3 linked regions of the Astyanax mexicanus genome follow. Each later gene encodes a partner of the first gene's protein in a complex. Links are inferred from orthologs where the notes say so. Each region holds a gene or a part of one and is shown in the gene's direction. Other genes may lie near its edges.

What was found.
Region 2: the proteins of rev1 (region 1) and pold3 are in contact, whole or in part, in an NMR structure (PDB 2N1G), measured with the Homo sapiens proteins. The link is inferred for Astyanax mexicanus from reciprocal best matches to the Homo sapiens genes REV1 and POLD3. Residues at the interface, in NP_057400.1 of Homo sapiens: Asn1158, Leu1159, Ala1160, Gly1161, Leu1171, Leu1172, Glu1174, Trp1175, Ile1179, Met1183, Glu1184, Glu1185, Asp1186, Gln1189, Val1190; in NP_006582.1 of Homo sapiens: Gly232, Asn233, Met234, Met235, Ser236, Asn237, Phe238, Phe239, Gly240, Ala242, Ala243, Met244.
Region 3: the proteins of rev1 (region 1) and polh are in contact, whole or in part, in an NMR structure (PDB 2LSK), measured with the Homo sapiens proteins. The link is inferred for Astyanax mexicanus from reciprocal best matches to the Homo sapiens genes REV1 and POLH. Residues at the interface, in NP_057400.1 of Homo sapiens: Asn1158, Leu1159, Ala1160, Gly1161, Leu1171, Leu1172, Trp1175, Ile1179, Asp1181, Pro1182, Met1183, Glu1185, Asp1186, Gln1189, Val1190; in NP_006493.1 of Homo sapiens: Thr528, Glu529, Pro530, Phe531, Phe532, Lys533, Lys535, Ser536, Leu539.

The regions. Positions count from the first base shown.
Region 1 is NC_064418.1:24,902,800-24,913,102, reverse strand, and holds the start of rev1 (DNA repair protein REV1), read left to right. Parts: upstream 1-5,443; 5' UTR 5,444-5,721; intron 5,722-9,826; 5' UTR 9,827-9,836; coding exon 9,837-9,893; intron 9,894-10,303. UniProt on the Homo sapiens protein: Deoxycytidyl transferase involved in DNA repair. Transfers a dCMP residue from dCTP to the 3'-end of a DNA primer in a template-dependent reaction.
Region 2 is NC_064424.1:5,730,041-5,740,280, forward strand, and holds the start of pold3 (DNA polymerase delta subunit 3), read left to right. Parts: upstream 1-5,765; 5' UTR 5,766-5,841; coding exon 5,842-5,898; intron 5,899-7,594; coding exon 7,595-7,650; intron 7,651-7,738; coding exon 7,739-7,841; intron 7,842-8,769; coding exon 8,770-8,809; intron 8,810-8,935; coding exon 8,936-9,068; intron 9,069-10,240. UniProt on the Homo sapiens protein: Accessory component of both the DNA polymerase delta complex and the DNA polymerase zeta complex.
Region 3 is NC_064414.1:2,689,265-2,699,966, reverse strand, and holds the start of polh (DNA polymerase eta), read left to right. Parts: upstream 1-5,949; 5' UTR 5,950-6,318; coding exon 6,319-6,455; intron 6,456-6,536; coding exon 6,537-6,671; intron 6,672-7,452; coding exon 7,453-7,670; intron 7,671-7,930; coding exon 7,931-8,103; intron 8,104-8,190; coding exon 8,191-8,294; intron 8,295-8,683; coding exon 8,684-8,803; intron 8,804-9,359; coding exon 9,360-9,483; intron 9,484-9,575; coding exon 9,576-9,641; intron 9,642-9,743; coding exon 9,744-9,916; intron 9,917-10,702. UniProt on the Homo sapiens protein: DNA polymerase specifically involved in the DNA repair by translesion synthesis (TLS). Due to low processivity on both damaged and normal DNA, cooperates with the heterotetrameric (REV3L, REV7, POLD2 and POLD3) POLZ complex for complete bypass of DNA lesions.

The DNA.
Region 1 (10,303 bases):
CAGTCTGATATACTTGCCTCTGAACAGCAAAACATCTAGTGCTTAGCGTGGTTAGCAGCTAATGCTAATGCTGCTCCAGCAGTGCTAGTCAGGGTTAGCAGCAGTCTACAGGCTGATATACTCGCCTCTGAACAGAAAAAGATCTAGTGTTTAGCGTGGTTAGCAGCTAATGCTAATGCTGCTCCAGCAGTGCTAACCGGGGTCAGCAGCAGGCTACAGACCGATATACTCGCCTCTGAACAGCAAAAGATCTTGTGCTTAGCACAGTGAGCAAACAATGCTAATGCTGCTCCAGCAGTGCTAGCCGGGGTTATTAGCAGGTTTTAGGCTGATATACTCCCCTCTGAACAGCAAAAGATGTAGTGCTTAGCACAGTTAGCAAGTAATGCTAATGCTGCTCCACCAGTGCTAGACGGGGTTATTAGCAGGCTTTAGGCCGATATGCTCCCCTCTGAACAGCAAAAGGTGTAGTGCTTAGCACGGTTAGCAAACAATGCTAACACTGCTCCAGCAGTGCTCGCGAGGGTTATCAACAGGCTACAGGCCGTTGTACTCGCCTTTGAACTGTAAAAGACCTAGTGCTTAGTATGGTTAGTGGCTAATGCTAATGCTGCTTCAGCAGTGCTAGCAGGGGTTAGCAGCAGACTACAGTCTGATATACCGGCCTCTGAACAGCAAAGGATCTAGTGCTTAGCGTGGTTAATGGCTAATGCTAATGTTGCTCTAGCAGTGCTAGCCGGGGTTATCAGCAGGCTACAGGTCAATATACTTGCCTCTGAACAGCAAAAAATCTAGTGCTTAGCGTGGTTAGCAGGTAATGTTAATGCTGCTCTAGTAGTGCTCACCAGGGTTATCAACAGGCTACAGGCCAATATACTTGCCTTTGAACTACAAAAGATCTAATGCATAGTATGGTTAACGGCTAATGCTAATGCTGCTCCAGCAGTGCTAGCAGGGGTTAGCAGCAGGTTACAGTTCAATATACTCGCCTCTAAACAGCAAAGGACCCAGCTAACGCTAATACTGCTTCAGTAGTGCTAGCTAGGATTAATAGCAGGCTACAGGTCAATATACTCGCCCCTGAACAGCAAAAAATCTAGTGCTTAGCGTGGTTAGCGGCTAATGCTAATGCTGCTCCAGTAATGCTAGCCGGGGTTATCAGCAGGCTACAGGCCGATAAAACTGACCTCTGACCGGTGAAAGAGCTAGTGCTAGCCGGGGTTATCAGCAGGCTACAGGCCGATATACTTGCCTCTGAACAGCAAAGATCTAGTGCTTGGCGTGGTTAGTGGCTAATGCTAATGCTGCTCCAATAGTGCTAGCCGGTGTTAATAGCAGGCTACAGTTCAATATACTCGCCTCTGGACAGCAAAAAATCTAGTGAAAGCATGTTAAAAAAAATAATGTGTGGCAAGGACTGACGAGTAGGAATGAGAAGACAATACTGCATATGTATACTGTATACTGTCTGTATACTGCATATGCCATGTCTCACTGCAAGAGACTCCAAAATACTGCCATAGTTCATTCCAAGATAAAAATAATCGACACCACCTGCTGCATTAGCAAAGCCACCAGCATTGTGGATGACCACACCTATCCCTCACACTCTCTTCATTCTGATGCTGTCTGGCAGAAAATAACAGAGCATCCGAGCCTCCACTACCAGATTCTGCAACAGCTTCTTCCACCAGGCGGTCTGACTCCTCAACACACAGAAATGGAACTGAGCTTGGCTCATGTTGAACCATGGTGCTGGAGGAAAGTAATTTCATTGCACTGTGTTCTTGTACAGTTTATTCCAAATTAAACTCATCTCATTGTGCTTCCACTGGTACAGAGGTCAGTCCTAATCCAGCCTATCCACATCATCAGTGCTTTTACTACTACGAGTGCCCTTATAGATGTATATGTTGAAATCTGGGGGGGATGCTCCCGTAGGAGAATTTCTTAAAACAGCCTAAAATTGTGTTTGTAGAGGTTACTCAAGAAAATAAACTCTAGGAAAGACCTGTTTATCACTTTCTACTGCTGCAGGGTTTGGAGCATCAGGTTAGTGTACCAGATGTTCACGGGTGGTTGACATGACATGGCCTTATTTTCATTCAGTGTGTCAAATATATGTAAATTATAGAAGAATATGTCAAAAACTGTGATAATATTGTTCAGAAAGTGCTGTGCAAACCAGAAAACGCTCACATAATAAACCAGATGTCTACTTATGAGTCTGCTTTGCTAAAAGTTTGGGCATAATATTTTAGAGCCCCCATTAGCAAAAACATTTTGTCCCAAAAATAAAAGTCATATGGTGATGCCATACTCCTTTTTTTAAACGGGCTATTGTTTGGACACCTTAAGAGAGTGGGGGTTCTCCTTCTCTCAGGATGAAGAACAACACCTCAGAAGGACACTAAAGTTACAGGATGTGTTATCGCTCTTTATGTTTTCAGAAAAATCAAGTATATCTAGCACTCCTGCTTCAGTTCCATTTTGCACTGTCATATGTTGTGACACATTTTACACAAAAATGCCAAATAAATTACTTTTCAGTCAATATTACCTTTAAAACTATATTGTCATTATTGTAGTTAGCATGGTTTTATGATGCTAGCATAAAGACACATTGCTTAAACTCATGCTAAGTACATGAAACGTCATATGATTTAACACATCATACGGTGTGACAGGGTTTTCTTATCACACCATATAACAATTTTGTCACACTATAAGATATAAACTGAATTTAAATACATAAATAATGCTATTAGATACATATGTTATAGCTAATAGTTAAGTGTTTTAAATATTTTATTAGTTTAACACATTTTTATAGTATATTATTCACAAATGTAATATTTAAACAGCAACACTCACTCATTCATGCAGATTCACTGACTTACTCAGACTTCTGAATGCAAAAGAAAAAGTTTAATCTTACCCAATTGCAGTCCACTGTATCATAAACCTATGGTTCTTCTGTTTGTTTCTTTAAGTAGAAGCCAAATGTGTCACAATGTTTAGTGGCACACTGATTTTAGCAATACATCCACAGCCATTTGCGGCCCGTTTTCTTTTTTTGGAGCGGCCCGCGAGGTATTTTAGAAATAGAATGAAAGTTGGCCCGCTATTAAGCAGGTTTTTATAATGTGAGATTCAAAGTTTGAATGCTAGGTGTCAGGAACGGGCCAAAGAGTCTAAAAGCGGAGAGAGTGCACATTTCTAGCGCAGAAAAACGGGCCAAATAGTCTAAAAGCGGAGAGAGTGCGCATTTCTAGCGCAGAAAAACGGGGCAAAAGAGTCTAAAAGCGGAGAGGGTGTGCATTTCTAGCAGAAAATCGGGCCAAAGAGTCAAAAAGCGGAGAGGATGCACATTTCTAGCGCAGAAAAACGGGACAAAGAGTCTAAAAGTTGCCATCATTAAGGAGTTAAATATTAAGAGACATCATGAAATTAAACATCAATTTGAAAAATATTAATTTTCTCAACATTGTCAAAGATAAAGATAGTAAGTCAAGTAAAATGGTCTGTAAATGAAATAATCAGGAAAAAAGTATTATTTAAAGTGGTATATTTTATTATTTGTTTTATTACAGAGTTTACAAAGTTTGGACACCCCTGTCATAGGGTGTGACATTCAGGATTTTAAAGAAATTAAGGATTTTGGTTATTTATCATAAACTTTTTTATGTGACATATGAGGAATAGTGCCAGCAAAGGTTACAAGAATTTTGGCACTTTTATAATAAGGTATTCCCAAAATAATTTCAAGTATATTGAAAGATTTCGATGAAACGTCTTCCTATGTGTGTAGATAATAAAAAAAAAATGCAAAAGGTAACATATTTGCATGTAAGCAATGCTATACTTTTATATAGTAATGATAAAGAATCAGGATAAATTAACGTACATTATCATATTATACCCATTTTTACTAAGACTGTAAAGAGTGTAAAGACTGTAAATTTCAAGAAAAAAATTATAAGACCATATATAGATTTGGAAAGATAAGGGTTGGTACAATATAACCCAGTGATTTCCATGACTTAATTTTGAGATTTTTTTTTTCAGTCAAATTTATCAACCACCCACAAACTGTGAAGAAACACATCCAGCAACAAACTATTAACAGTGCCCAAAGAATCATCAACATCCAGCTGCAACCCTCTAGGGATATATAGCTCCTGCTAACATCCCAGAATCTCCACTATCAGCCATCAGTGAACCAACACACCAACAGGATGTAAAACACACAGAGGATGCAGTGGGATCTAATTAAGATCAGTGTTTATCAAACCACATGAAAGTAGACAAATTTAGAGTTAGTTCTGAGGTAAGAAACATGTGTGATGTGATTTTAAACATGTGATGTCAACAGATGATTATAATCTGAATTTGGTACAAAAGCAGTATCCATGAATAGCTCTTTGAGAAGGAAAGATGGGCAGAGTATCTCCACTTTGTAATAAATGCATCACAAATGTATTTAAATATCTTAAAACAATGTTTCATGAAGACTGAAAGGGATTTGCGTATTTCTTCCTCTAAAGTGCATATTATCATTAAGCTGTTCAAAGAAAATGAGAGAATGTGACATAAGCCTAAGCTAAACACCTATGATAGCTGATAGAACCACATGGCCAAAGGAACTATTTTGGCCAACTTTTTCCATCACTACAATACAGAGTTAATTAAAACTTTACTGTACAAAACAGAGGCCTTATGTTAACCACGTCCAGAGTTGTTTATTACTAGGACATGTATGAGACACTCATCAAGTGAGAAAATAAAACAGTACAGACATTACAGTAAAAACCAATAACTACACCTTTACAGTATATATATACCCTGTAGTCTGCTTTATTTAAACAATAACTTTAAAGATCATTCCAAAACAATTTGGAATAACAAGGTTTACACAATTAAACATCTAATTTCTGTTTTGAAACTTTTGTGCAAAATGAAAAGTTTTGTTGTGTAAATTTGGAAAAATATATAATTGCATTGGTAGATGTTATACTTTTTGTTTATTTGCACTTTTGACTTTATTATAAAGCCTTACATCTAAGGTAAAAAATTAAGCTGTATCAGACTGACAGCCTGTTGGGACTTCCAGCTGTACATGCACGGTGATAACACCGGGGGGCAGCACAGTGTTTGTGCTTTGCTTTGACAGTCACTCTAGGGCAGATCAACATTAACGTTAGGCATATAAGTCTCTATATAACTCTGTTATGTCTTATTGTGATTAGATCTGAATTTTAAATCTTTTTATGCTGTTTAATTTTTTAATTTATTTATTTAATCTGAAATCTGAAAGGTTTTTTTGTAAATATTCAGTTTAGCCACTGCGACAACAGTAATGTGGGCCACGGGCCGGCAGGTGGCGCTGTGAGGGCAGCGCAGGCCCGGAGAGTCTGACCTGGCGCGCAGGAGGCGGAGCTTCAATGGAAACAACGAGAGGAGGAGCCGGAGGAAGGAGAGGGGCTACAGAGAGCGCTGAACGGCGCCTGGCGATGGAAAGCGGAGATTATGAGGGGAGAGGGAATCTTCTGAAGCCCCGAAAACATGCTCTCGATATCCAAAGACCCGTGTCTGCGCGGCTGTTCCGTTAATACTGGGTTAAAACACTGTTGAACGGTTAAAGTGGACGCCTCGGCGGAGCCTGGGAAACAGCGGCGCGCTGCTTCGGAGTCGATTATCCGGTAGAAAAGGGGAGAATAGGTGAGCAGCAGTATTCGCTTTTCAGATGATTCAGAGCCCCTGACACGAACAGAGAGACAGCCCACAGTCCAAACACACACCTGGATAAGAGCCGCTGCGGTTTGTTTGTGTTTGTCTGTGTCGTAGCTGTGTTGTTATGTAACGGTTATGTGTCGTTGACTTCAGCTGCCTTTTCCTCCAGTCTTTCTGTTCTCTGGTCTGGTGTGTGAAAGTGTGCTGTGTGTTTACAGCGCTGTCTGACTGGAGATTAACTCGGTTTAATCTGAATACCACAGCACCAGCCCGCTCCAGCTCATTTAGAGAACAATTAACTCGCTAATCTAACCTAGCTAACCCAACATAACCTAAACGGCCCCTGTCTGATTTAGCTAACGTTAGCTGGCTATGTGAGCTAACAACTACACACAGCACTGTCTGTCCGCTAACCCAGCTCTCTCTATATATATTATCCAGTGTCACCCTTCGCTCTGGACATGTGTTTAAATATGACCGCCATCGTCAGTCCGCCCGGTAGTAGTAACCTTACTCAGTCCTGCAGGTCAGTAGTTGGCATGCCCAAGCTTGTCCTGGTGCAGCTCGAGTCAGGCATTAAACCAGTGTGACTGACATTATTTATATATATATATATTTATGTGTGTGTGTGTGTGTGTGTGTGTCCGGGTGGGCTGGACAATGAAACGTAGAGCTGAATTATGGTCCGCGTGTGACAGTTTGTTTATGTTCGGGAACTTGGACAGACTGCTGGTACACCTGCGACCCTGGTGACCCCTTAAGCATGTGCTGCTTTCAGTAAAGCAGTCAGTGCAGCCGAGCTGGGCAACGAGGATCAACAGGCCGATTTAAATAGTTACATGAGTACTGCATTAATGCAGATGTGGTTATTAAATTAGGTTTTTAATGGTTCTTAGTTTGCATTATTTGCATTTATAAAAATAGAATGATTGTGTACAATAAAATGTCAACAATTCATGATATTACATTTTTGTATCTCTCCTAGTTGGAAAAAAAATTATATTTACTTATTTTTTAACCCTTTATTGCTTATTATCATAGCTAATTTGTTTGTTTGTGTGCGGGAGTATAAGCTCTCAAAAAGTAGGGTAAAATATATGAAAGAAGAAAACTGGCAAGAATGACTGCAATGGAGGTCTGCACATACAAACATCTAAAATATTCGGAAAAATAAATATGCCAGCTCAGGTAATTTCATCATTCAAAGAACGTCAGTCAGAAACATAGGTTGTAAAATAATGTGTGTTGAAATGTCAGTGAAGTAAATATGTTTGTTATTGTCCAGTTCATGTCCAAATGTTATTTTGTATTACTCCAGGTCCAACTAAGATATTGTTGATATTTGGCTTGTGTTAATTTATAGTTTCCTAAAAGAGGTCTTTATTTGGTATCTTAAATGAAATTTACATACCTGAATTATAATTATTTTTTAATCAATGGTGGGTATAACACTAGGCGGCCAGTCACTAACAGCTTAGTACACTGCCAGGATCACAAAACCCAAGATTAAAAAATAAGATTCCAGAGTGCCTGGCTAGGGAATTAATTGAGAACCGACATTTAGATCCTCTAAGAAATGTAATAATTTTCCATGTATGGTTTTTATATTACTTATTTTAATACATTTTGTTAGTAATTATTGCTAAAATGTCTGTTAATGCTAATACACCCTAAACAGCTAAGCAAAGAAAAAAAAAAAGCTAAGAAAAATGCAATGGTGCATGAAATACATGAAAATATCCATTCATTATTTGTGTGTAAAATAATCAGTGAAAATGTTTGTTGGTTGTAAAATTCATTTGACATAATTTTGCCCAGAACTTGTGATTAGGCATCATTTTATTCATGGCACAACAAGATGTGTGGTCTGGACGGTAGGCAGACGTGTTGATACTGTGGCTGCTGACAAAGGAATTAAGTTTGCTAAGCCACTTTGAGGCTGAGGCAGTGTTTTAATGGAGATTGAAATGAGGTTAGGATCATTTATCACTGACATGAACATCTTCTGGATTCAGAATGCAGTTGTAATTGGTACCGTCTAGACATTTAAATACTTTCTCCTCTTGAGTCCAATAGATTTTGTTACTATTTTTTTTTTTTTACGTTTTTAATGTTGTGATCTTAATGTATCAGATGATTTGGGATGTTTCTTTCACATTAGCTATTTGTTTATATGTTTTATACGATTGAACTGTAGTTATTTTTTCAATTAACAAAGAGCCTGCCGAATTTTCTTACTTATGTTTTAAATGTAATTTCAGTAAAGTCAGATGCAGCAGTTGGGGTTATGTAGAGAGAGTCAGGGATGTGTAGTGGGACTGAACAGTGCTTTGTGCAGTGCAATGTGGTGGTTGTTGGGGTGTTACGTTCAATGAGGTGTGCAGCTATATTGGCAAAATGGGCTTGATGGCTGCTGTAAACAGAATTGATCTGATCTCAGGCCCTTTGCTGTAGTCCAGGGGTCTGCTTCTCGATTTTCTCTTTCACTCTGTTCATTAGATTTCACAGATGCTATTTAGGGCTAGTAGAGTAGTTTGATAAGGATATACTGTACATATTTGGCTTCATTAAAAGTGGAGCCATAAAACCCAATCCGCTACATAAACATTCAAGTCTCTATCTCACTATTTAGCATGGTGCCCAGTGCATACCTAAACCATCACAGAGGCAGCATTTTGGGTACAGATAAAATTTTGTTTATTGTTGTTGCTGGTATCAAAACCTTGATATCTTGCTTAAATCTGCTCTGGTGAGGAAACTGTGAAACCCAGCAGTTCACTGAGTGCTCCCAGCCTCAGTGTTTAACCTCCCACTCAAACGCAGCAAGTGTGCGAGGAAAGAGACAGACCCTGGGAGGGATGTTTGACTTTACTGAGGAGAGTATTTGACTGATGAGAACAGTAGCGTCTGCACCATGTCTGTGTGAGTCGGAGGCATGGAGATTCAGTCGATATGGATCCCTGTGGAGAGAGAGATGATGTGTGTTTCTGTGTGGCTGTCTGGTTCTGTATCTGTGCGACATGTGGCAGTGAGGACACTCGCAGCATAACAGAGCAGGCTGAACAGTGACATGCAAGAGAAAGGGGGTGGTTCCCTTCTAACAAAGCTCATTCAGCATCAGTGTGCTGTTAATAAGCTGCCAGCAGAGGTGTTAAACTCCCCTGCATTTTTGGATGGAGCATTCCATACCATCGAGGGAAGAAGATAAGAGTCTACAGTAGAATTAGAGAGGCATTTTTCTGTCTGATAGCTTGCCTGCCTGCCTGCCTGCCTGCCTGTCTGTCTGTCTGTCTTATTTCTAAACTAGGATTTAGTTCTGCCAGTATACACAGATCAGTCATAACATTAGCACCACCTGCTTCATATTGTCTAAAAATCCCTTGTACCACCACAACAGATCTCACCCTTAGCAGTTTTTCTGCTTTTTACACATCACACTCAAGAACTGACTCTTCATTTGTTGCCTAATGTTTCCAGAAATTGATGACTAGGATATATTTCTGATTGTAATATGTTGCTTACCCTAAATAATCTAAGCTTAGGTGGCAGCATTGTGTTAATGTTCTGCCATGATCATTATGTTATTGTACAGTTTATAGACAAGACCCCATTTATATTTTGTGCCTTTGTATGGGGCCTTTGTGAAAAAACATTGTTTTTATTTTATGTATGCTTTATTTATTGGATATTTCAAAATTAAAAAGTGTGCAGTTGCTTTATTAGGCTATTATGTTTGCATTATATAAGTGACATTAAAATTACAATAATATTATTTTCCTTAGTTACTTCTGGGACAGTGTATCATCCAAACAAAAAAGTTCCAAGGTTACATTTACCTACATCTGGAACATAAATTATCAATTATACCGCCACATAATGAAAATGTACGAAATCATAGTTGTATCTTATTTCATTTAAACATATTACTTTTGCATAAAAGTATTTTTAGTAGGTGTAGTTGAACAGATGCATAGATTGATACGATAATGTCAGGACACACATATTTAATGAGGGGAAAACACATTGGTGTAATTGTGGTACCATACAGCTTCAGGGTACCAGCCTAAATCTGGCATCTTTTCTTCTTTCTCAGGTTCCTCAGCATGAGTCGAGATGGATGGAGGAAGAAAGCTAGTGAAGATGATGGCTGGGGAGGACGGGTAAGATCACTGCATTCCAAAAATGTGCCTTAATGTTTGTTCCAGTTAATTTTAGGTGTGGAGGGGCGTGTTATGAGTTGTTGGAGTTGTCTAGACATTTTCATGTGTATTCTAATGGTGAGTAAACTCAAAAGTAAAGCCTTCACCCTACACAAGTACACAAGTTTGTCTTGAGATGTTACTGTACATGTATTTGCAGTATTTTAGTTTTCTGGCTAAAGCATTGCTGCAGCTGCTTATATATTCTAAGTTTTTTTTAATTGAATATGTTCCACCTTGCAAGCAGCTTTATATTAAATGTGGTACAAATATAACCTTCAGATATATTATAAAAGTCACTGCTACATAAGAGTTTTTTTTTTTATACAGTTTTTTGACAGAAGCACAAGCCTGTCTGCTGTTAGACTTGG
Region 2 (10,240 bases), on another chromosome or scaffold:
CATTGCAGTACTAAATATGGAAAATGTTTGCCTATTGGCTATTATCTAAAAACAATTGACAATATTATTGTGTACAATATGATATGCCACATCCCTAATTTGGATGGCTGACCACAAACATTTGGAAAGCAGCTTTTTTTTGCACTTTGAATAAAATTTCTAATGTGTTGTTAGTAACGTTGGATGAGAGTGGACAACGACATTAAGATCTATTGTGTTTATACTTCTGTGTTTGTGTGTCCTTGTCCACATTTCTTGGGAGGTGCATGTTGGGCTATGGTATAGAGTGTGGCGTAGGGTCTGTGGCTACGTGAAGGGTACACATAGAAGTATTATAGGTAGTATATATTATAGGTTGCTAGTAATATAATAGGTATAGCAAGTATAAATTGTCCTGTACTAACATAGCATTAACAATGCTGTATTCTGCATTGTATACCCCACTTACCCCAGAAAATGGAAAGCACTAAAAACCCTACTACCTCACTGGACTCTATTGCACACTGTGTAATAGAGTAATTACTACCTCACCTGGTCTTTTGTGCACACTGCAAAATTTGCACACTGTCTTGTTATTTATTATTCTTTGTCTGTATTGTTTTGTATTGTCTGTCTGCACTTTTGTACTGTTGCACTATTGTTCCGTACTGTTGCACGTTGTTTCGTTTCACTGTGTACTCTGTATGTAGCTGAAATGACAATAAAAACCACTTTGACTTTGACTTCTGGTAGTAATGTAGGATGAGGCTGGTAGCTGTATAAAAACACACAGTTCTCAATTTAGCATTTAGCTAGTTAGCTGGTATGCTCTGTTCCATGCATTTCCTGGACCTGGTTAAGCAACAGCACAAATAAAAACAGAAAACGGTAACCAGACTAACTAGAAACTTTATTCGCTTCAGCACAGATCGGTACTTAGTATTCATTTGGCCCTGCAGTGGTCTTAATATCACATTCCCCTGAAAGGCCTTTGCATTTTGGGATTCAGAAAATGTTTAGAGGGAAATTGTCCCCATCAGGACAAGCATGTGTGCGAGATCAGGTGAAAACATTATTTTCTCTCCACTGTGGTAATTGGCTGCAGCACACATTGCGTGACCTGCCCTGCCATGAATAACCACTCACCAAATGTGATTAGGAACAGTATTGCTATTCATGCAGCAACATAATCCAATTTTCAACTTATAGTCCAAAATGGAGTGACCTCACTAGAGTCTCTCCTCCCGCTGAAATACGTTGAGAATAAAACTGTCTGACTGCAGTTATGGTCACGGTCCTCAGAGGATTTCTACACCAACAGCAAGCATGAAGCCTCAGTGCGCACTGGTTCTGGTCCTGCTGGTTGTCCTGGCTCTGTACTGTGAGTATATCATGTTTTTACTATGTTTTGTAGGTGAAGCTGCGCAATACGGTAATATTTTATTGTGTCTTTTATTGTATAATGATAAACGCATTTCTTTACAAGTATACTGTGGATTTCGTCAGTGCTTCAAGTAATACACACTGACCAATGCAATGCAATGTTATCTCATATAGACATGTCCATATACCAGTACACTACAGGTCAAAAGTTCTTCAGATCCAGTGAATATCCTGAATATTGTAGTAAACTTAAATAGCATTAAAAAGTTAGCAGTAAAACGCCTGGGTGTTTGAGGAAAAATAACTTAAAACAGGAAAATTTGTGTACTGTAAAAAAAAAAAACAAGAATAGAGGAAAGTGGCTTTTTAGGAAACAAGTAATTGTTTAACAGCTTACAGTTGGCTGGTAGCAATAGAAACAAAATTTAATAAGTCTTAGTCTCTACTGCAGCATTTACACACTTGCACACAGCACAAAAAAGACACAGAAACACAGAGAACTTTGTAACTATTAAAAGTAAAAGTCTTTTTTTAGAGAAATTACAGATGAAGCCAGAGAGCGGTGAGTACTGTTTCCTACACCTTCTAAACACTCTTGTAAACTGGAGAAAACTGCTACAGGAAGACGTCTGGCTGACCCACATGGAAACAGCTTTATCCTTTAGCTCAGATTAACATGATTGAACTGAGTTTTAGCAGTGAAGAGAAGAATTAGAGGTCTGACAAGTGAAGAACTGCAGTAATAAAGTCATTGATAAGATGAATATGGTTAATCTTCAGCTTATTCAAATTATTCTAGCATGGTTAAACAGTATCTTTTTTTGTATGTAAAAATAAATACAATTACTATTATGATTATTATGAATTCAAGCTGTGTCTTAGCTGTACAGAACCAAAACAGTACTGCATTTTATTTTTGAAGGTAAAGAGAATGAGGCGGCGTCCTTCCCGTGGAGCTGTGCCAGCCTGAACGGAGTCTGCCGACAAGGAACATGTCTGCCTTCAGAGCTCTACTTCGGACCACTAGGCTGTGGAAAGGGCTCTTTGTGAGTTAAAACACTCTGTTATAAAATATACCCTAGTTATGATAAGTACTTACAATACTACTATTTTTTGTTTTTTTTGTAACTTTATTTTATTGAGTTTTACAAATCCAGGGTATCAACATAACATATGCTGTGTGCACACAAACAATAAAATAAAGTGTGTGTCTCTTATTAGAATAAATATAAACACATCTGTATATTCATCAATGTTTATTCAAATACAGAACAAGGGGATGCCATGCATTAGGATACCTATGGAATAATTTTGTACCAATAGGATTAAAAGTTTGTAAATCTAAATTATTAAAAAAAGTAAAAAAAAAGTTGTTGTTTTTGGACTAGATCTATCTAAAGATTTCAATTCAGTTTTATTTAAGTCACTTTCACAGAATTCTAACATGTAACATTTAAACGAGACAAACACATGCAGCACAATGCAGAGGAATTAAAACTAAAAACTCCAAAAGTTTGAAACGGGTTGTGCAGCATTATTTGAATTTTCTACATTAGATTAATTTGCACCTGGATTCAATTTAAAGTCTTAAATACAGATTTAATACAAGTTCAGATAGACCTTGTTCAACATCAAACTTTAATATTCTAATTCATATCACCCTCTTATTCAGTGTTTTTATGTATTTATTTTCTACATTGTAGATTAATATTAAAGACATTAAAACAATTAAGAGACACAAATGGAATTACGTAGTAAACAGTAAATAAAACAACACCTCCAGGAACTCCTTCCTTCAAGACGCTGAGAAAACTATTCCAGGTGACTCTCCCTCATGAAGATACTGAGATTAAAATACCAAGAGTGTGCAGATCAGTCCTTAAAGATAAATGTGCTACATTTTTTGTTTACAGAATAATTCAGCATGTGTTCCTGTAGAGCTTTAATATTTTCAATATTACATTTACAATGTAAAAAAAACATAATAAGAAAGAAAACACATTGAATAAGACGAGTTGTGTCCAAACCTTTGACTAATGCTTTATAAAATTCAGCACAAACATAATTTCTTAAATATCCATGTAGAGAGAAGAAGATCAATACAACATTTCAATTGAGCATCTACAAATATAGCTTTACAAGGCACAACTCATAGCTTAGCTTTTACATAGGCAACCATTTATTAATCTGATTCGCATCTTTATGGTAGGAATATATGGTTTTTCAACATAACAACAGGATACAGAACTGAATGTCAAAAGCAATACCAATATTTCTGAGCACTATGCAATGAATAAGACAATGCACAGATATGTAAATACATGTTTTGTTTTTTTCACCAGATGCTGCGTATCACACTTCCTCTGAATGCTATCAACTAAATCCTAGCAGCGTGTATCTGCTGAAGTGACGCCCATCATGTGAATCCAATAACCTGCATGTTTTGAAGTACTGCTATTTAATCAGGCCTGAGATGTCCAGTGTGGGATTGTATCTACAGGCCACTGTCGACCCCCAGCTTATTCAGATAGATGCTTTTGTGATTATTTGCAAATGCTTGTTGTGATATTGTGCATTATTAAACATGATGCAGGTTTACAGCATTTCTGATATTTGTTTAATTGTTTTGTTCATACTGTTTAATAAATACTTTCATTAAGTTAATTAAGGAGACAGAGATTTCTTGTTCATGATGTTCACAAAGTCTCATACTGTTTTATATATATATTATATTGTAGTAGTTTTAGGTTGTAATCTACTGTTAAATATTCTTAATAATCAAGTTGCTCCCTACATATATTAAAGTGATCCAATGTGAAGCCTACTTTATTTTTTTTGGCTTAATTTAATTTACAGGACAATTATTTTATCAATTACTAATAAATATTTATATTTTCAGTTGAGGGCAAAAAGCTGGTATTGCACAATACAGGATAAAGAAATGTGTTGTTAAAGTAATATATCATTATTGCAAAGGACTGTTTATACAAGCAAATATAATTGATTGCCAATTATCATTAGTATTGTATATGTAAGACTAAGTTTAATTCAGTTTTATTTCAAAGCTATCTAATGTAATTTTTAATAAGAACAAAATGCTTCACCAATGGTTAAATTCAGTTCATCAAATTCAGATTTAAATGTCAAAATAAAAAAAATGAATTTTAATTATACAGATTTATAAAATAAAATATTTAAGGCATAAATGTTTATTTCTCTGCTTGACTGTTTTTTTTATTTTCTCCATTGTTATATTAGAATATTACTGTGAGCCACAAGAAGTCCAAAATGAATGGGGGTCAAAGGAGCTAAAACTTAAAATAGTTACTATCCACATGTGTAGGATATTCATTTAATTATATAAAGTATTACAATGTATTTTACTAAATAAGCAAAGAAAACTTTAAATATATTTTAGTTTGAGTTACAGTGAGGGCAGGTTTAAAAGGTTTATAACTGGAGAATGATTTCAAAATTATGTTTTCAGCACTGTATGAAAAGGGATGTTGGTCAGTTGTACATATAATGGATAGGGAAGGAAAGTTTATCACTAAAAATATGTAATAAGAAGGTTTTAAAATTTTTGCTATGTTCAGAATTAATTTTATCCCCACTTAAAATGCCTGAGAGTGATGATCAGACAATAGCAAATAGCAAAAATGAATAAAATGCTTCATTTTGTGTAAAAAGTGGCACAAATGAACTTCATAGATTTTACTATATTTTATTCAAATTACATGTAAGTGTTTGGTATGGAAGCCCATTCCCGCCACCTAAAAAAAAAAAATCCAGCACATTTTTTTCTTACTTTTACTTAACCTGCTATCTCATTATTTTGAGATAGTAAATCATTATTTTGAGATAATATCTCATTTTTAAATTTTAAAATATTGAGTCATTCTTTTGAGATATCTCATTTTTCTGAGATACTATCTTAGTATATTGAGATAATATAATTATTTTAAAATAGTCATTATTTTGAGATACTGTGTCATTTTTTGGAGAAACTATCTTATTATTTTGAGATTCATTATTTTTAAAATAGTAAATTATTATTTGGAGATTGTATCTCATTATTTTGAGCTACTATCTCATTATTTTGAAATAGTAAGTCATTATTTTGAGACACTATTTTTAAGTCATTATTTTTTGGAGATACAATCTTAATATTTTGAGATTGTAAGTCATTATATTTAAAATAGTAAATAATTATTCTGAGATCTCATTATTTTGAGTAATAGTAGTAAGTCATTATTTTGCAAGAAAAACGTTTATGTTTAGCAGTGTACTTAATACCAATTCTCTATAATTATTGAGGCCCTAAATGTTAATCAGAGACGGTCTGTTTTTATAACAACTCGCTGAAGCGCGGGTGGCAGTGAACGCACCCCTTCCCGTCCGCGCGCACATGACAGGAAGTAAATAAAGTTTCCCGCGTTTCGGAGCTGCAGAGTGGAGCTGCTTCAGATTATCGCTGCGATGGACGATCTGTATTTAGACAACATAGACGAATATGTGAACGATCAGAATAAGATAGTAAGTGTCTGATGTTCAGGAGAGCGCTGTGTTTGAGGGCAGTGGGCGCTGCTTGGTTGATTGTGTCTGTTTAATAGCTGTGAGCTCTGGGGTGTGGGTTGGGGAACGCTGCATGATCAGTGTTCAGTATTGGTTTAGAGCTGGAGGTGGTGGGTTGTGTGGGTGTTTTATTAGTTTAACACTACGGAAAACTGCTTTTTTTATTTTCCTGCAAAAATACGGTTAACCTAGCTAATTTAGCTTGCATTAGCTGGTGTTATCACTGGACCCACTATTCAATGTGATTGACTAGCTAGCTTTAGCTAAGCTATGTTAGTAACCTAGGTTACCTATAGTTAGTTAGTTAGCTAGCTATGTTAGCTTAGCATATTTTCCTGCTGAAAAGTCCAGTCTTTGCAAGCTAAGCTAAGTACATGAAGGTTTCCAGATTATCTAAGTTTACCAAATGCCATTATACAAGCTGGCTACTAGGGGTGGGCGATATGGCTCTAAAATAATATCACGATATTTCAGGGTATTTTTGCGATAACGATATACTTGGGCTATATAGGAAAACTAAAATAATTTATTAATTTCAGGAATATAGAATAAGAGTATAACAGAATAATCATAATGTGGCAAAATAAATAATATAGCATAAAATAATATAATGCATCAAATAATATTGCAGAATATTTAGTGCATGCATATAAACTGCAAACTAAAACAATTATACAATAAATACACCTAAAGCTTCACAGTAAATAATAGACTACTTTTAAGACAGAACAGCCCTATTATCATGACATGGATTTTTAATATCATGATATTTCTGTCACGATATATTGTATACGATATAATATTGCCCACCCCTACTGGCTACTTGGCTAGATAAGCTTCTAAAGCTGTTTTAATGCGACAAACAATGTTATTGTCCTTTTAAGAACATTAAGTGCACCTGACATAACCATAACAATACAGAAATAATAATACATTAAGCATAACCAAGCTTCCATATATTTTTGAAGAGAGTAACGTTACATTTAAGCAGTAATAAACAAGAGGGAGTATCCTGATTAGTTTAACACGTTTTAGTTAAGTTACTACACAATTAATTATGTGTTGCTTTATAGTCTGGATCACTTCACTATTCATTTACTATGTAGGAAAAAACCTCTGTAAGCAGCAGTGTGTGGACGAGCATTGACCTGCTGGAATAAAGCACATCTTTAACATAACCTTGGGCTGATAGAGTGCTTATTTTAATCCCACACCATAAAATCATACGTTTTAAACTGGATATAAAATCAAGCTATAATACACAGAACATGGAACATGGGAAATTAAAATAAGAAAGCATGCCGCTCATTATGTAAATGCAGTTAATCAAATTCAGATTTGAATCTTAGAAACACTTTTTCATCCTGGTACTTGCAAAAAGCAACAAATCTCTAGCTTAATCTCTGCAGTTTCGGGCTTTCAAACATAAAGAAATGCTAGAGATTCCGGTTAAGTCAGCTGGAATCTCCTACATTTCTCTGGCATTGTGCTACGTTTGTTTTGAAAGTGACTTGAAATGCTCCTCTTTGGACAAGCTTCATTAAAAATAGCTAATTTCAAATCTTGGTCAGTTTTAAACAATAAAGTAAAAAAAAAAAATGTGTTGTGAAAAATAGTTTTGCTATATTTGATGGATTTTCCTCTTTTATATTCACAGGTCACATATAAATGGCTCAGTCTTACTCTGGGAGTCCATGTCAACACGGCTAAACAGTAAGTATATGGCTATACTATTATTTATTTTTAGTAAAGGCTGTTTGAGGTGGGCCGACAGACATAGCTTTTTTTTCATGTATTGCAGGATGCTTTATCACTACTTAGACCAGAGACGCAAGGAGAGGTCTGGAACCACACTGCATGCCACCTACCTTGTATCCGGAAAGTGCAGTGAGAATGGGAGTGTGGTGAGTATGGAGACCAGGATTCTTTTATGCAGAGTTTATTACTGTAAACAAAGATGTTCCACGTGATTTAGCAAATCATTTTTTTACTGTTTTGCAGTATCTGTATTTGTGTTTCAAAGATGCTTTAGTGCAGAAAATCCTGATTCACAGGAACAAAAAGTTACTGCACATTATTTACATTTACTGCATTTAACTGATTCTCTTATTCAGAGCGACTTACAAAATTAGTCCTATTACAGAGGTGGTCCAGTGTAGTGTTAGGAGTCTCGCCCAAGGTCTTTAATTGGTGTAGCATAGCATCCAGACACCCAGACCTGGAATTGAACCTGAGGTGTCTCCTGCTTAAATATGTTATTTTTTTTTTTCTCCCCCCTCACATTTATTTATTATATATATTACATAGACCGTTCACAGCTTTATACCCTCTAAATGAACATGTTAAATAAAACCATATATTTATTGAAACAAATAAAAATAAATCAAAATTAACTTAAATCAGTTTATTTAGATTTTAAAGTTGCTAGGCCAGTGTTACTTGGTCCTTTTTCTACATACAATAAAAATGTCGGCCAGTTTCGTTGTGAAATATCTACCAATTCTACACATTGGCCGGTACCAAAGATTCTTAAAAAAAGCAATTATCGGCTGATGCTGATATATTTCCAATATCATCGTTCATCCCTAGAAAACTCCCTTGATTATTAGCATCGCTCTATTGTGTATCAGGACCCCCAGGTTAAAAACCTATTTTAACCTCCTTTATGCATTTAAAAATAAGAGGTTATTAGAATTACATGAGACCGACCAACATTGGCTTGTCTTCCACAATATAATGTGATCTAGAACACCTGAATACCTAAATACCTTTTCTGAATACCTAAATGTTTTCTCTTTTATTACCTGAAATATTTTCTGTTATTCCTTTTAGTGTCATAAGGTGTCCGTGGTGCGTGAAGATCAGCTTGATGGTATGATTATCTTTTCTGATGTTTCAGAGAAAAAAATTAACATGTATAATGTTCAACCTACACAATTCAATTTAAATTTGAGTAGATCTTTACACCGTTCCTCTCTTATGTTCTTATCTGTTCTAGATACGAAGTCCAAGCTGGATAAAACCATTAGTGTTCATGTGTACAGTGTCCAGAAGGCTGAGCTGAAGGATAGCGGCCCACTCTACAGTACAGACTATGATGCTGTGAAAGAGAACCTGAAAAACTGCAACAAGTATGGGATTTAAGATCTGTTTCCATGCATATTATGGGGATTATGACAACATTCCTTTTAGGGCCTGTTAGAATCAATCAATCAATTCCAATTCACAAGGTCCCAATTTGATTTGGTTTAATTCAGTACAATGTATTTTAGGAATGTTATAGTGTATTGTTTTTGTTCAGATTTGAAAGAGACTTTCAGAGAACTAATGTTATAATTGTATAAGGGACAACCAATCTACCATTATTAAAATTATAAGTGTTTACCTGAAGAATTAACCCAAGCAAGATGCATTTCTGTTTTTGTTATTCAATGTGTCCATATCATAACAAGAGTGTCCATGTAATGTAATCAGGCATTCAGCTTATTTACTTCTACAGAACTTCAGTGTAAGAAAAGAGTGAATTTAATCAATGCTTGGATTAATTTTCTCTTACTCTGAATGTAACTGCCAGTGCATTTGAAGTGGAATGTAAAAGTCAGTAACTTGTTTGCTAGCTAAATGTGAATTACTAAAAATAAGACGCATCTTGTCTAGTAGTTTAGTAGACTCTTATAACATTTAGTGAGAGAAAACTAAATCTTTTTGCTAATATTAGCTGAGCTTCTCTAACGCTAAAGCATGTTTTGGAACTCTGCAAATAGATGACTTTTACGCACATGAAAAATAGGCTAATTTTAAAGATTAATCTTAGGTTTGTATGAATCACTGATTTTAAATGAAAAATCATTTTTTAAAAGATCCACCTCTAATTCCTGTTAATGATTTTGTTTAAATCTTATTCTGCTCACAAATGTTGGAATATTGAAATAAACATATTATAATTTATCTTAATTTATTCTAATGAAGTAGGTGGTAATTTTTCCCCACAAATTAAGCATTTTGTCAAAAAGCTATTTCTTTCCCAAAGTGAAACAAATTGAACTGATTTGTGGGAAAGTTTGAGATTTTGTTATTCGTTGTTGTCTAAAGGTGCACTAAACCCCCTGATTTTAGTTGACTCCTCCCTGAGCTGAAAATGTGAAAAAGGGTCAGTAAAGTATCTTATAACATGTTTTGCACAGAAACCAAAAAAATGGCACATGTGCAGATTGCAGTTAAACCTGTTAAAATGACAATCTTTGTAAGTCACTGGTGAGCAGATATGTACATAGCATGGAAAAAAATAGTTTGAAATGTTTTA
Region 3 (10,702 bases), on another chromosome or scaffold:
ACCGAAACTGCGCTCGGCCAATCAGAAGCGACGCTAATGAATATGCATAGCAATTTAGCCAATGACAGGACGGTAAACAGTGCGTGTGATTTGATTCACATTTATTGACTCGTATAAAATGATAAGAATAATCATTTACAGGGTTCAGGCCGGGATATTCTGAATGATACTGTCTGAAAAAGTTAATTGATAATCTTTACAACCTTGAACTGTTTAATTTACTGAACAGAAGCTTAGTTATTATAGCTTAGCCAGTTATTTCTGTGCTCAATTGTAGGAAACTCCTGCTGTGCACTGTGCATGTTCACCTCTGTACTTTTTATTTTATCTGCATCTAATAAATAACTGTAATAATACTCTATTGTACTCAGAGAGTCTTCAAGGGAATGGAATATAATCTGTGCAGGATCCTCAACTCCTCTCTCAGTGCTAATCTAAACCCATTGACCCCTGATTAAAATTAGTACAAATGCACCAACACAGCTCACTTTTTATAGAGCTATTTAAATATTAACATTTTATTATATAATATTATAGTCTTTATGGCTTTTAGTGCATCATAGGATCATGTGATGCAGCCTAAATTATTACATATTTGTTTGCCCTTAATGCTATTTTTTACCCTTAAATAACTTTTAAATTTATACTTTTTATACTCTTCCCGGCCTGAATTATGTTCCAGCAATAAAAAAAATTAATAATCCTGTTGTCTGTCTTTAATTGCAGAAATTGTATTTTTAATGTTGGAGTCTAGATTATGTAGTTATGTAGTATAAGAGCATGTATAATAATAAATAATGTATAGTAACACCAGTAGCCCCTCCCTCGCCCGCGGTTAAGGCGGTCCTTAACGCGGCGAATCAACCAATGTCGCACCACAGATATGTATAACCGCAGAGCCTATTGGGAAAACACTAAACCTGTCCTATTTATAGTATGTTTAAACTATAATATCACCATCTTATAACACACAAAACCTGCCCCCGCTCACAGAAACACGCGTTAATTGTGTTTCTCTTAAAGAAACTAAATCAAATGTAGTCTACACCCTGAATGATAATCCACAGATCCTGCCCGGGTATATTACCAATGAATGGACACTTTTTCTGCTGGGTGTGAGGGCGATCTGGCTGCGACATCTGTTACCCCATTGATCGCTAGGGTTGATTCGGCTGATCTGGCTGGCTAGGCGGGTGTCCCCTTCCTCCCTCACCGCTCCATGTGTGTCCCTCCCGAAGCTCCGCGCTCGGTGGAAGAGGACAGGCTCCCCGGCGGACATCGTTGGTATACGAGTAGCTGAGTACTCCCCTGCTAGAACCTCCAAACAAGCTCAAGGCCCATTTGTAGGAGAAACGTAGGGAAGTCAAGCTCCAAGACTTCAGTCACATCCAAATGTGGCACTGCACGTGGCAGTCTGCCTTCCTTTTTTCATCACAATATTACAAAAAAGCTGAAAATCCTGAAATAGAAAACGATAATCTAAGAGTGACTGTGTAATTATGTCTTTTCTTTACAGTAAATTCAACGTTCACATATACCATTCCATTCACAATATCAGACAACACAGCCCACAGCTGTCAATCACTACATCTCCACACTACTTTATATTTTACAAAATAACTCATATATACAACGTTGGTGGGGCTTAACATTTTATCTGATTCTAAAAGTATTTTAGGTTCATTTGAAAATATAAAGCGCATTCAAATGTGGTGCTGCACGTGGCAGTCTGCATTCCTTTTTCATTTTTTCATCAAATTACAATATTACAAAATAACTCAGCTGAAAATAGAACATTAGCATCATTAGCATTAACATTAACAGAATAGCATCCTAACAGCATGTAGTGTTAAATCTTTAGCTACAATGTACAATGTATCTAAAATTTCAAGAACAGTTTTTTGCCATAGTAAAATTATTATTTTACTAATCCTCCACTAACCGAAGCTACAGATACATATTAAACTTACAGCATGTAAGTTACAGACTAAAGACAACATTAAACCAGACACACACTTAAAAACCTATATTTATACTCTCAAGTCTAAAAGTGACTGTATAATTATGTTTCTTTACAGTAAATTACAGTAAAGATTAAGAAAATTAACTCATTTATAATTCATATATACGGTATACAATATCAGACGACACAGCCCACAGCTGTCAATCCCTACATCTCCACACTACTTTATATTTTACAAAATAAATCGTATATAAAACGCTAGCCTTCTATGAGCTGTGCTGTGTATGACGCCACCCAGCCACCGTACCATGAGCCGCCTGTGACGTCACCAAGCTACCGTTCCACGAGCCGTCTGTGACGTTATCTAGATACCTGTTCCCCCTAGGTGGCGGCGCTCTCGTCGATGACGTCATCAAAAAACAGACTATAAAAGCGGCGGAGCGTTACGTCATCACTGGCCACTTTACTGCTTTGCTTTCATTACTTCACTCCTTTCATTACTGCTTTAGTTACTAATGGCGAAACAGAAGAAGATACGAAGTCGCAGGTCGAGGGGAAACCCGTTTAGGAGGATATGGGAGCGGTGGATGCGGATGAAGGCTCTGAGGAAGTATGAGGAGGAGATCTCTGAGAAGATGGAGATTTTAAAGTATCAAGAGATCAAGTTTAAGGCGACGGAGTACAGGACTGCGATGCGCGAGCAGCGTGCTGACTGGCGCGAGCAGGATATTGAGTACCGGGAATGGAGGGTTCAGGAACTGTCTCAGGAGCTCGAGCCGAAGAGGCAGGGCTTCATCGACCGCCACAAAGAGCTGACAGTGCGGGAGAGGCGGTGTAAGGAGCAGGAGCGGCAGTTTGAGAAGCGGGAGCAGGAGATTATAGAGATGGAGCAGAAGGTTAAAGAGTGGGAGAAGGAGATGGAGGAGCAGATAGAGAGGGAGAGAGCCATGTTTCCTCTTCTTGTGGTGAGGAAAAGGGTGGTGCTGGAGGAGCTGAAGGAGAGAAGCACTGCTCCTGCTCCACAGCCCCCCAGAGGAGGAGAAAAAATACACTGTATAGTTGTATAAATCAACACAAAACTACAACACCTCAAAAACAGCTAAAATAAAAGCCTAAATAATAAAAAGAAAAATGAATGGTTCCTCCCTCCGCTCCGCTCCCCTGTGCGCTGCTGCCACGGACATCTATGTATATAATATTTAAATATAGCGTTAGTATATTTGGATAGCATAAAAACACTTTGCCAACCGCATAGCAACCGCTTTGCAACACCTTAGCACAACCACCACCACCACAGACACCATAGCAACGCCTTAACAACTACCTAGCAACCACCAAGCAACCATAACAGATACCATAGCAACACCTTAGCAACTACTTAACAACAGATTAGCATCCACCATGGATACCATAGCAATGCCGTAGCAACTATCTAGCAACACCTCTTTTAGAAAAATACAATGTGCATGCATATATGATTTTTCTGTCATAAATATCAATTATTGGAACAAGCACCATTTATTTTAAATAAAGCTTTCTTGAAAAAAGCTAATTATTTAGTGGACTTGCTTTTAAACATGCTTTTTAAATCTCACATGAGTTTTGTAACCATCTTTAGATTAGAAACTTGTAAAAAAAATAAATAAAGCTGCCTCTAAGTTTGAGAATGTTTTGAACAGATAAATATATGTTATTAGAAATAACAGATTATTAGATTTAGTTTAAGCAGACTGTGTTTGTCTATTCTTGTGACTCAGATGAAGATCAGAACACATTTAAAGACCAGTTTATGCTGAAATCCAAGCATAATCCCAAAGAGTTAACATACTTTTTCTTGCAACTCTCTCATCACTGGAGGGCGCTCTAACACAACAAATGGAGCACAGACCATAAACGCATAGTAATCACACATAGGTTAATAAAAATACGTGCTTTCATGCTGAAATACTTTGTATTTTGCTCTTTAACAAAGACAGACATATGGGATGGCATATTAATAAGTGTATTAATACATTAATTTTATATTCATATGTGCATTCATACGATAGATGGGATTTTAATTATGTTGGGTTATTCAATTAATCCATTAATGGCACTGCACTCAGCATTCTGCCTTATATTTTCAAATTAAACTCAAAAATACTTTTAGAATCAGATAAAGTGTTAAGCCTCACCAGCGTTTTATATGAGTTATTTTGTAAAATCTAAAGTTGTGATGTAGTGATTGACAGCTGTTGGCGTTGTCGTCTGATATTGTGAATATTATGGTATATGTGAACGTTGAATTTACTGTAAAGAAAAGACATAATTACACAGTCACTCTTCGATTTTAGAATATAAATTTTTGGTTTAATTTTGTCTTTAGGCTGTAACTTACATGTTGTATCGTTTTATATGTAGCTTGTTAAGGATTACAAAAATAATGATTTCATTAACACTACATGCTATGCTGGGTTATTTTGTAGTTTTGAATTTCTGAAAAAAGAAGGCAGACTGCCACGTGCAGTGCCACATTTGGATGTGTCTGAAGTCTTGGAGCTTGACTTCCCTACGTTTCTCCTACAAATGGGCCTTGAGCTTGTTTGGAGGTTCTAGCAGGGGAGTACTCAGCTACTCGTATACCAACGATGTCCGCCGGGGAGCCTGTCCTCTTCCACCGAGCGCGGAGCTTCGGGAGGGACACACATGGAGCGGTGAGGGAGGAAGGGGACACCCGCCTAGCCAGCCAGATCAGCCGAATCAACCCTAGCGATCAATGGGGTGACAGATGTCGCAGCCAGATCGCCCTCACATCCAGTTAAGAGAGTGTCCGTTCTTTGTTTATATACCCGGGCAGGATCTGTGGATTATCATTCAGGGTGTAGAGCACATTTGATTTAGTTTTTTTTTTTTTAGAGAAAAACAATAAACGCGTGTTTCTGTGAGTGGTGGTAGTTTTTGTGTGTTATAAGATGGTGATATATAAGCTTAAATACAGTATAAATACGACAGGTTCAGTATTTTCCCGGTAGGCTCTGCAGATATGCATATCTGTGGTGCGACATTGGTTGATCCGACGAGTTAAGGACCGCCTTGGTGGGCGGGCAAAGGAGGGGCTGCTGTCTCGGCCAGTCAAAGTGACGTAAGCGGGTTGTGTTAAACGTGAAATAGAGGCAGCGACGCGTCTTTAATGCCTAAAACCCATTTGTTGTACAAAAATAGACATATACAGGTTAGTTTTCTTTATTCTTTTAGCAAAATACTTCAATTTACTTTGTAAAATTAAAGGAATCGCCGTGACAAGTGGATAGTTAATATATTTAATTTGAGTTTTTATCCGTTTAGCTCATTTCACTTCCATTCATTGAGGACTCGCTCGCGGGCTCCCTCTAGCGTTTAACAGGGCAAATATAAAGTGCGTGAACTCTCAATGAACCAGTTCTGGTTAAAACACTGTGTGTGAGTTTCCTGCACAGAGAAGAATTAAGTCTTGTCGTAAAGTAAAAGTTCCTTTTAATGTAAAATCCCCATTCAGAATGCTATGAAGTCCAAGACTAGGCTTAATTCCTGTATGTAAAACCCTGTTGGTTTACGATTATTCAAATGTTACCATTCCACTAACAAACTACACTTAGATGATCAGAAACTAATAGGCTTACATTTGTTTACACTGAAATGCTGTGGACATTACATGTGTAATTCCTATAATACAGCATACATGAAAACACGAAAGGGTATTGAAGCACATTTATGTATTTTAGATATTTTTTAGATTTATTTATTTCGGTGGGTTTTAAAGGCTAGTTTCAGAAGTGTTGACAGTTTCCAATAATTCCAGTCAACGATCGATAATAAAAATAATAATAAAGCAAATATTTAATTATATCTTTGGACATTTATCCAGTTTGACAATGATTAAACATTTATAAACTCTGATTTTGCTCAATTGCTCCATATGAGCCTATTCATTTTGGACTCGCGTTTTGGAGCGCCCTCTAGTGGTGGAATAAAGCTGGAAGAGGTGGTTAAGTGGGTATTCTCCTCTGTGGAGAATCTGTGGCAGAGTTTGTTGTCGCGGGAAATTTCTTCCTGCAGCAGAATTTTGTCGTCATAAATTACTTATTTTACTTCTGATTATGAAATCATAAAGTCTAATCTCAGGATGTCGGGACGCTTTGATGTTTTCCCGCGCTTTTCCTGTGAGGAGTAAAGTTAAGTTCAGGTAGCTAACTAAGCTAAGCTAACCTAGTTGTAGGCTTGTGAGCTGGACTACTGTCTGTTCGCTTGGGTTAGCTTAGCTTAGCTTAGTTCAGGTTTAGTTTATCTTAGCTTATCTTATTTTAGTTAGTGTTTGGACTGGCCCTCTGCTCTCGGTGATGGAGACGGGTAAGGAGAGGGTGGTCGCGCTGGTGGATATGGACTGTTTCTACGTGCAGGTGGAGCAGAGGATGAACCCAGAGCTGAGGAACAAGCCCTGCGTGGTGGCTCAGTACAAGACCTGGAAAGGAGGAGGGTGAGGGGGGTCTTCTCTTCGCTGTCTTCTCTTCTATCTCCTGGATCTTCATTCACTAATGTTATATTTTTGTGGTTTTAGTATTATAGCTGTGAGTTATGAAGCTCGGGCTCACGGGGTCACCAGGAACATGTTCGCAGACGACGCGAAAAAACTGTGTCCAGACCTTCGAGTCGCCAGAGTGAGAGAGTCTCATGGCAAAGCTGATCTGACGAAGTAAGTTCTCCCCTGTGGAGCTGTAACGTTATTTACTGTATAGTCCACGATGCTGTGTATATACTGTATATGTAGTCCATGGTGCTGGGTATATAATGTATATGTAGTCCATGGTGCTGTATATACTGTATATGTAGTCCATGGTGCTGTGTATATACTGTATATGTAATCCATGGTGCTGGGTATATAATGTATATGTAGTCCATGGTGCTGTGTATATATACTGTATATGTAGTCCATGGTGCTGTGTATATATACTGTATATGTAGTCCATGGTGCTGTGTATATACTGTATATGTAGTCCATGGTGCTGGGTATATAATGTATATGTAGTCCATGGTGCTGTATATACTGTGTAGTCCATGGTGTTGTGTGTGTGTATACTGTATATGTAGTCCATGGTGCTGTGTGTGTATATAATGTATATGTAGTCCATGGTGCTGTGTGTATATACTGTATAAGTAGTCCATGGTGCTGTGTGTATATACTGTATAAGTAGTCCATGGTGCTGTGTGTATATACTGTATAAGTAGTCCATGGTGCTGTGTGTATATATACTGTATATGTAGTCCATCGTGTTGGGTATATACTAGTACATCTAACAAAACTACAATATCAAATATGAAAAGTTACTTCATTATAGTTCTAATTATACCTTGTGCATCCTTTTTCATGATATATTCATTATATCCACAGACATTTTATAAGTAATTTCTGTATGGAATTTTATTTATATTTTTGCACCACAGTGTTTAGTGACCTAGTGTGTCTTTGCAATCAGTTATAGGGAAGCCAGCGTGGAGGTGATTGAGGTCATGTCCCGTTTTGCAGTGATTGAGAGAGCCAGTATTGACGAAGCCTACATGGATCTTACTAGCAGCGTACAGAAAAGATTGAAGGATCTGGCGACGGAACGGATTGAACCCCACCTTCTGAAGGCCACATATGTACAAGGATTTCCTCATAGCACAGAGGAGCTTCCAGAAACTGGGGATAAAGGTAGTCAACAAGATCATCTCATATCATTTTAGAAAGAATACTGAATACTAATAATGTAGGAATGCAGTTTAAATGACGATAATTTTTAAGCTAAAAGAAGAGATGGCACAGTACTGATTTTCTTTGACACAGATTTTGGTATAAATTAGATATAGATGTGATTTTTCTTAAAAAAAAAAAAAAGACTTATTATTATTACAATGCCAGCATACCTTCTTTAGGCATGATTTTATTTATACTTCTTTTGCCTGTAAACACAGAGGAGCAGAGGTCTCGGGGTCTGCACCAGTGGCTGGACTCGCTGCCGCCCTGTTCTCAGACGGACTGTGCTGAGCTGTGTTTGGCTGTGGGGGCGCTGATTGTGGAGGAAATGAGGGCGGCAGTGGAGAAACACACTGGATTTCGCTGCTCTGCAGGCATTTCTCATAACAAGGTGACTGTTCTTTTTTAGTTAAAAATCCAGGTATTACTAGTATAAGTTCTATTCACCTGTAGCTTTAAATTAAATCTGTGTTTGCAGGTTTTGGCAAAACTTGCATGTGGTCTCAACAAGCCCAATCGCCAGACCGTCCTGCCTTTAGGATCAGTACCTGAACTCTTCGGGACGCTGCCTATCAGTAAAATGTAAGACATTTCACAAATTGACTGGGTGGATGTTTTTTTTCTTATTTTTATATATATATATATATATACATACATATTTGTTCATAGGGTTTTAGGAAAATAGCCAGCACAATTCTAGAACAGCTCGGGGAGAAAAAAATTAAGAGACCACTTTATTATTATTGAAATAACTTGAACAAAATACACAAGTATTAAGTGGCCATAAAAAGGCCTCAGAGATTTTCCTTTAAAATGCATCTTTTCAAGTTTTTAAATAAAAGCATTAATGGAGGAAATAAAATAAAAATAATATAAAAGATTAGGTTTTTCAGGGTTAACTGGACAATTGTGCTCACATCACAGTGTGTGAAGGAGCTTTTTTTTTTTTTTTTTTGTCTTTTGTCTTTCAGCCGCAACCTGGGAGGAAAGCTTGGTGTTTCCATCACAGAGACATTAGGAGTGGAGAACATGGGAGATCTTACTCAGTTCACACGTGTCCAGCTGGAGGAGCACTTTGGAGAAAAGACAGGGTAAGAACTGGAACAGTTAGTTTGATGTCGGATCGGACAACCTTGTGCACTTTTGTATTTTCCTTTGTGAAATAAAACAAAAGTTTATTGGTTAATTGGTTAATTGTCACATATTGAAATAATGTTTTTGTTAATATCTGGGAAAACTTTACAGTACAAACAGCAGATCTGTTTCAGTAAATCATTTATAATTATAGTCTGTAATACAAAGCATGCTATTCTTTAGCTTAAAATATTTTATTCAATAAAATTGGAAATATATTTATAGAGGTTAGTTTATCCTAAAACGTCTAGTCTAAATCTAATCTGCCAGGCCTAATAAACCACACTACACTATTATTGTATCTCTCCCAAACACAGAGAAATACTAGCATTAAACAAAATTAACCATGATCTTAACTATGATAAGTTACAGAATTGTTGTTGTGCATTGTTGTTTTTAGTCTGTTTATTTAAGAAAAGATGCATATTTAAAGGGGAATCATTTGTATGAATATTTAGTAACGTATTGCCAAAGTATCGGATCGCAAGCCTCAAATGCTTTATCTTTCTTCAGGCAGTGGTTGTACGATTTGTGCAGAGGAATTGAGTTTGAGCCAGTGAAGCCCAGACAGCTTCCTAAATCCATCGGCTGTAGCAAGAACTTTGCAGGAAAGACTGCTCTAGCTACGAAAAAACAGGTAATGTTTTACCTAATGCTTTTTTTAGTATGTATACACTATGCATAACTGTTACATGTACTTTTAATCCCTTTCTTTTTCTTCCTGAGAAGGTCCAGCACTGGCTGCACCAGCTTGCCTTGGAGCTGGAGGAGAGATTGAATAAGGATCGAGAAATGGTAAGGGAACATTTTCAGTTTAAAGCAGTTTTACTGCATTTAGTGTTTCTCCAACATCTCCCTCTTTACAGAAGCCTTTTTATTCTTTTCTTAACTCTGTAGAACGGTCGAGTGGCCAAGTTGCTGACTGTGGGTGTCCGTCAGGCTGGAGATAAAAGACTGAGTAGCTTCTCCCGATGCTGTGCTCTAGCCCGCTATGAAGCTTCAAAAATTACTGCTGATAGCTTAGCTATTATTAAGAGCCTTAACACTGCTGGCAGCCATCAGGAGGCATGGTGAGTATTTTTACATTTGTTTGCAATATTTACTTACCTACAATTACACTTATATAGCACCTTTTTGCCATTCAAGACACTTAAGGATGCTTACAATTACATTCTACACTTACCAAACATACACTGGTGCGAAGCGTCAGCCAATCGCACAGAGCGTACTCTCAACCAGAAACCACTGTCCATTTGGAGGAGGACTGCATCCAGTACTGAGGAGTTGACCCAGCACAGAGTGCCAATCCATATCTGGACATAGACAATTTTTTTCATACATATTTACACACACTTACATTTTAAACCTAAAAAACACCCATCCTAAATAAACATAGATATGCCAAATTTCATGGGACAAGTATTGTGTCCCAAAAGTATTTGCCATCTACCGTGGAAGCTGAAGAACACTTGACTGCTTTCATTGTGGATGTGATTTCTGTATGTAAACCCAAAATGTAAACCCAAAAATCAGTGTTTTAGAAAATTTGAATATTATACTTGACCAGTTGGTACTTTTGGCAGTGTGGGCAGTGTGCCAAGTCCTGCTGGAAAATGAAATCCGCATCTCCATAAAAGTTGTCAGCAGAGGGAAGTGCTGTAAGATTTTGCGGGAAAACAAAACTGCACTGACTTTAGACTTGATAATAAAACACAGTGGATCAACACCAGCAGATGACAGACATGTCTCTCCAAACCATCACTGATCATCAGTAAATTTTACATTTCATTTAAAGTAAATCAAGGGATCAGAGTCTGGAGGAAGAGTGGAGACACACAGTCCAAACTGCTCGAGGT